Saccharomyces cerevisiae S288C: one gene and its partner. The protein of the gene in region 1 interacts with the protein of each later gene in a biochemical or structural test. Each region holds a gene or a part of one and is shown in the gene's direction. Other genes may lie near its edges.

Region 1 (3,600 bases):
CTTTTTTCAAGAAATTTAAATTCATTAATAGCGATAATGACAATTATAATAATAACGAATTTGATGATAATACACAGTTAAGATATACCTCTAGAGGGTTGTATAGATAGACACAAATTTTGACAATCACAAAGAAGAAAAAAGAAACTATTTACATATTTAAACATCTACCTCATGATTATTTATGTACGAAAATTTATAATTTAGTATAATTTAGTATTTTTTGCTTCTTATACTTAGCTTTAACTTAGCTGAACGATTAGACCTTAGCAAACACAAAATATAAAAATATGAAACATAAAAAATACACATGTTGAAGAAAAGTAAAAATCTTCACGTAGCGATGCATTGCCCACCTTTTAAATCTATATTGAAGATCTCCTCTAGAAGTCCAATGTTTAATACGTAACTTTCTTGATATATATTACATATTTTGGATAACTCCACCGAGATTTATCTAATTTTGTTGCTATTTCTTACTGGAAGTGCAAAAAAGCAGCGCACTATCAATTATAATATACAGATTTTGAAGATACTAGTGCTTTCTTCTTCCTTTTGGTTGAACCAATTCAAAACCGTCTTCGTCAACAATTGGTTCAGGTTTAGACGATACTAAGTCAGGTACAACCTCGTCCATCTCTTCATCTTCATCTTCGTCATCATAGTCCTCTACATCTTCATCGTCTTCATCATCATCACCCTCAATATGCACAACTCTTTTTGATTTTTTAGTTCTCTGCTTTTCTTGCCATTCCAAATACAATTTTTCTACCTTATTATAATTTAAATTGAAACAGTCGTTATATATGTTGATGACCTCCACGGCAATCGGTAAAGCCGAGTCGTCTTCAACATTAGTTTCAAATTCATCTATCATTGCATAAAGTAACGTTTCTTCGATTAAAGCGGCGTCAACAACTTTTTCATTTTTGAAAAGGTCTACTACAATCCCTGTAATCCAGTCTCTCTTCTCAGCTGAGTCTGGACCACCCCAACTGTTTTCTACGGCAACATCCAACGCATCCCACTTATAAATAACCATGGAAACACCGAGCTCAAAACGTGCCTGTTGCTTTTCGTCAGAGAACATTAGATTGGTTTTACCTTGCTCAGCCTGAACAAATGCTGTCTCATCAATATATTGTGTGCTCATTGTTCCGTAAGGATTATCACTATAAAAATTTTTCGCAGATTTCTTTGGACTCCACCTTTCTTCCTGTTGCAATAAATACAAACTGTTTGAATCATTTTGATATTCATCTATATCTATTTCAAAATTTTTCATGTCATCGCCTCTTGAAACATGAATTTTCCAATTCTGAAAAAGAACGTACTACTGGGAAACAAAAGGGAAAAATGTATAAATCCTTTAATGTTTTTGAATCAAGAGGCATTATTATAAAAGAACGAAGCAAAGCCTTTAATATTTGCTTTATTAAAGGTATTATTCAAAGAAAAGTTTTTTTAGATTCTTTTTTTTTTGACGTATTAGCTCAGCTGCCATAAAACACTCTCAACGCCAATGTCGAAAGACTTGAATTCTTCACGCATCAAAATCATTAAACCTAATGACTCTTACATAAAGGTTGACCGGAAAAAAGATTTAACAAAATACGAATTAGAAAACGGTAAAGTAATTTCTACTAAGGACCGACCTATCGCTTCTGTACCTGCCATAACAGGAAAGATACCAAGTGATGAGGAAGTATTCGACTCCAAGACGGGATTACCTAATCATTCCTTTTTAAGAGAGCATTTCTTTCATGAGGGTCGACTTTCTAAGGAACAGGCCATAAAAATCTTAAATATGTCAACTGTAGCATTGAGTAAAGAACCCAATCTACTAAAACTCAAAGCGCCAATTACTATATGTGGTGATATTCACGGGCAGTATTATGATTTATTGAAACTGTTTGAAGTTGGCGGTGACCCCGCCGAAATCGACTATTTATTCTTGGGGGATTATGTTGATAGAGGTGCATTCTCTTTTGAGTGTCTGATTTATTTGTACTCCTTGAAGTTGAATAATTTAGGGAGATTTTGGATGCTAAGAGGTAACCATGAGTGTAAGCACTTGACCTCTTATTTTACTTTTAAGAATGAGATGTTGCACAAATACGATATGGAAGTTTACGATGCTTGCTGCAGATCATTCAATGTCTTACCATTAGCAGCTTTAATGAACGGACAATATTTTTGTGTGCATGGTGGTATCTCTCCAGAGTTAAAATCAGTAGAGGATGTTAATAAAATTAATAGATTTCGAGAAATCCCATCTCGTGGTCTCATGTGTGACCTACTATGGGCCGATCCTGTCGAAAATTATGATGATGCAAGAGATGGTAGCGAATTTGATCAGAGCGAGGATGAATTCGTACCTAACAGTTTGAGGGGTTGCTCTTTCGCCTTCACTTTTAAAGCATCATGCAAGTTTTTGAAGGCAAATGGTTTGTTATCTATTATTAGAGCACACGAAGCACAGGATGCTGGGTACAGAATGTATAAAAACAATAAAGTAACAGGCTTCCCGAGCTTAATAACCATGTTCAGTGCGCCAAACTACCTGGACACATATCATAATAAAGCTGCTGTGTTAAAATATGAAGAAAACGTCATGAACATCAGGCAGTTTCACATGTCTCCGCACCCTTACTGGTTGCCTGATTTTATGGATGTTTTCACCTGGTCACTACCTTTTGTTGGCGAAAAAGTTACTAGCATGTTAGTGTCTATATTAAACATATGTAGTGAGCAGGAACTTGACCCAGAATCGGAACCCAAAGCTGCGGAGGAGACTGTAAAGGCAAGAGCAAACGCAACTAAGGAGACCGGCACCCCATCTGATGAAAAGGCGTCATCAGCGATATTAGAAGATGAAACCCGAAGAAAGGCTTTGAGAAATAAGATATTAGCTATTGCTAAAGTTTCAAGAATGTTTTCGGTGCTAAGAGAAGAGAGCGAAAAAGTGGAATATTTGAAAACTATGAATGCCGGTGTCTTACCTCGTGGTGCTCTAGCTCGTGGGACTGAAGGTTTGAATGAAACGCTAAGCACTTTTGAAAAGGCTAGAAAGGAAGACCTTATTAATGAAAAATTACCACCATCTTTATCGGAGGTTGAACAAGAGAAGATTAAATACTACGAAAAAATATTAAAGGGAGCGGAGAAAAAGCCACAACTGTGATAAATCTCATTTTATTCTTTTTTATTCCTATGAGATGCAACATCGAATTCTTGTGCTACTGTCACGATCCGCAAGAGATAATATGAACTAACAAAATACGAAGAAAATATAGATCATTTCCAGTCTATTTCTTGATTTCCATACTTAACTGCGAGCAGAATAAATATAAACACATATTTTTTAGTTTTATTTTATTATTAATGAACCCTAGTTACCAATTAGTTATGTAAACGCTTTTCGTAAGAATGTAAGTTATGAACACCACCTTCTAGTTGAGCAGAAGCGGTTCTAAATTCAAATCTAACTTTACCGCTTTGGACATTTTCCTTTAATAAAGTTAGGGACTTGTAACCAATGTCTTGACAAGAATGTTGTAAACCGTTGTACAAATATGGAATAAATTTCTTGATAGAACC
Region 2 (3,600 bases), on another chromosome or scaffold:
CCCAAAGCTATGTCTTGGCCCCTATAACGCTACCTGTTGATGTGCCATACTCTTACCAACTTTCTTTTACGTTAAAAATTTCCATCCCCTTCCGCTACGAGAAAAACTGCAGAGGGTAACTATGACATGTACTTTCTAATATGGGCCTATAAGGACTATATACATATGACTAACATTGAGTAAAACCAGGTCTCGAGTCCCATCATCACGCCCATCCTTTTGCATCCACGCCGCCACGCAATTCCTCTTTTTTTGAAGTTACTTGCGTCATGTGGGACATCATATGGGACATCATAGCCTGCAAGATCGAGAGTTAAATATACGACTAAAAGAAATAGTAGCACACTGCCATTTCCAGCTTTTAGTCCCTTGGGGAAGGTTCAGCATTTGATAGCAAATGATTGTACAGTTTATAACCGTATCTAAACGTACGGACATGTTTTTTCCTAGGGCCTCTATTAAAAAAATCTTTGAAATTTCCCTTCAATGCCACCCTTTTTTGCCAGGCATTGGTGGCCATGATTTGTTATGGCTTCCAAGAAAAGGTTTTACTACAGACGCCTTTACTACAGAAGATGCCTCTTCCTATCGTGATTTGCCCTCCAGACAAAAGCCGCGGACATAACGATGGCGGATTGCATTAGACAATGATTGCTATACGGAGGCGAAAGAGATAGCTAGCGACTTCTTAAAGGCGACATTGCTCCGCTACAAACGTGGTGGAGTTTTAACCCTACGAATTCAGTTACAAGGTTGAAGTTAGTGAGCAGCTTCTGTTCTGCCGTTTCTTGCGCAGTCTTGAACTTTCTTGGTCTTGCCATGTGGTCGGGATATTCTGTTCGTTTATAATTACTCCTTGCCACAAAGTGCACACCTATTTGGATATGGTATATATAAAGAGTGGAGGCTTATATCGGCGAGAGCGTGCGTTCTATCAACTCAAGCAAGTATACGGGTATACACAAGTATGTGGGATTCGTTAATTGTAAGCATCAACGATACGCACAAGTTGGGGCTGGAGGATTGTCTCGCCGTTTTTGGCCACGTTCCCATTACCAAGGCCGTCAAGCATGTCAGACTGACAGAGATCGACACGCAGACGTCCACGTTTACGCTCAAGTTCCTTCACACAGAAACGGGTCAGAACATCGAGAAGATTATCTACTTCATTGACAATGACACGGGCAACGATACCCGCACTGCTACCGGAATCAAGCAAATCTTCAACAAGATGTTCCGCATCGCTGCGGAGAAGAGGAAGCTGTCGCTCATCCAGATCGACACTGTTGAGTACCCCTGCACTCTAGTAGACTTGTTGATCCTGGTAGGCGTGGCGCTACCGCCATTGTGCTACCTCTATCGTCCTGCACTGCACGCTATCTTTTTCCTGGTCCCTAATCCTGTGGGCTCCACCTTAGAGGCGTGGCTGGATAGTGATCTTGTGCTGCGACTCATCATTGTTGCCGAGTTCCTGACTCACGCCCTCGAGACGCTCATTTTCGTCGTCCCTAGGCTCAAGTACTACCGTGTTCCTGGCGAGTTCGTGCCCGAGTGGCTTCTTCTAGGTCTCCTCGAAGGTTACGGTCCTGCGAGACGTCTAGATACTAAGGCTCGCACTCTTGGCGAAGGGTCAGTTAATTAGTCCGAGGCCTTTTTTCATTTTGTCTCCCTATCCGACTGGAAAAGTTCTAGCGAAAAGTGCAGCAGACGCTGCAGCAACAGGAACAATTTCCGAATGACCCACCTGCGGTGGTGTGGCACACGCATTCTGCATGTCTCAATAACCTCTAGAATTATCTATATACTTTTTAGTAAACACAACTTAAAACCCTTTTGTCTTTTCCAACATATTTTGCATATAATTTTTGTAAAGGTTTTTTTCTTCTCTTGAGTCCACTCACTATTCGAAAGCAATATCAACAAATAGAAGCTTTCTTCTATTTTTAAGGGAAGGAATCTTTAAAGTACAAGGAACAGAAGATACTAAAACATAGGGGGAAATGGTGGTACGAGATCAAGATGAGGCGTTGAGAAATTCTTATAAATATGTTAAGCTGTATGTCAGGCAGGACCAGCTGGAGGATACGGTGGACATACTCGCTAAGCAGGACGAGGACAAGTCCAACAATGATGACAGGCGCAGTCTAGCCTCGATATTGGACTCGAGCAGTTCCGTCAAAAAGAAGGGGAAAGGCAGCAACGAAAAGTACCTACCATGCGTATCTTTCAACACAGTTCCCAGATCAAGGGTATCTTCGCCCTTAGATGAAGAGAAAAGAGAATTTCCTGGCGTGCAGATCTCTGCAGATTATACAATGGAGGAATATTATGACGACGAAAGTGGCTTTACCTCGGACAACAATGCCGACTACTTCTCCGGGAATAGCTATTCGAGTAGGCGAGAGGGCAGTGCTAGTCCCGGCAGGTATTCTTCTCCACCTCCTGCCTCTAAAAGAAACATCAAAATAGGTAAGATGTTTAAGATTTCTGAAAATGGTAAAATTGTAAGGGAAGACTATCCTACTACACCCACCGATATCAATGACGCTCTTGTGATTAGTAGGGCGTATGCCAATTGGAGACAACTATGGATCAAGAAGAAAAATCAGATAGATCATCGATTAGAACAAAAGCGCGATTTCTTCAATTACCCAACAATACTGTTTCCTCCAAACAAAAAAAAGTCGTCTGAGGGCGCTACTCCCACAATAAAATTCAATCCTCCCATAGAAGACGGCTTTACGCCTTTGACTAAGTCTCAAAAGCGGAAAGAGCGTGTTTTGAGCGAAAAGGTTGGGTTCCCGAACACTCCTCGAACGATATTGTGCCACATCAGCGGCAGGAAACATACTTGGGTAGCACTAGATTGGGCGCTACGAACTTTGATTCAAAATACAGACCACATTGTTGTGTTGGCAAACCTGCCCCGCCTGACTAAGAATAATTTCGAAGACAATGATTCGATGAGTGAGCGAAAAAGAATGCTAATGATGATGGATGATAGCAGGAGTGTTAGCTCAGCAAGAAGATCACGATCCAGATCGAGATCACGATCCATATGTACAAGAAGGGCACTTTCTCTGGGGCCTGAGGAATCTGACAACAAATTAAAGCACCAAAATTTTATCGAGTGGACATCTGGTTATACGCAGAACGAAATAGAACGTAAATTGCAAGATCTTTTTGATTATGTTACACTCATAATTCCGCAAGATCGTTCTGTCAAGGTCACTGTCGAGATCCTAATTGGCAAGACTAAAAAAACGCTTCTTGAGGCAATAAACATCTATTTACCTGATTTCTTTGTATCTAGCACTTTGAGGTGGGAGAGAACAGACAGCTTAGTTCGTTGGAAATCGAACTTTCTGACAGATAAACTGTGTACTAATTTTCCGATTCCAACGTTTATTGTACCGGCAAAGAGAATGTTCGATTTGGAAATAGATTTGCAAAAAGAGTTTAAAGAACCGGAGGTAACGAAACAAAAAAATACTAGCGGTCCAAAGCCTGGGTTCAGCCATTCTAAATCAGCAGATGCTAGCATTCCAACTATCTCAAATATCAAACGGAAGCAAGATAACGATTATTCTATAGATTCAC

What was found. The genes of interacting proteins can lie anywhere in the genome.
Region 2: the proteins of CNA1 (region 1) and JIP4 form a complex in vitro, tested with the Saccharomyces cerevisiae proteins (one study listed by BioGRID).

The regions. Positions count from the first base shown.
Region 1 is NC_001144.5:1,003,931-1,007,530, reverse strand, and holds CNA1 (calcineurin catalytic subunit A), read left to right. Parts: upstream 1-1,522; coding exon 1,523-3,184; downstream 3,185-3,600. Other genes in the region: ECM30 (Ecm30p), read left to right, coding at 1-110; TSR2 (Tsr2p), read right to left, coding at 536-1,153; IMP dehydrogenase IMD3, read right to left, coding at 3,403-3,600. UniProt on the Saccharomyces cerevisiae protein: Calcium-dependent, calmodulin-stimulated protein phosphatase. This subunit may have a role in the calmodulin activation of calcineurin.
Region 2 is NC_001136.10:1,408,495-1,412,094, reverse strand, and holds the start of JIP4 (Jip4p), read left to right. Parts: upstream 1-2,000; coding exon 2,001-3,600. Other genes in the region: YDR476C (uncharacterized protein), read left to right, coding at 968-1,642.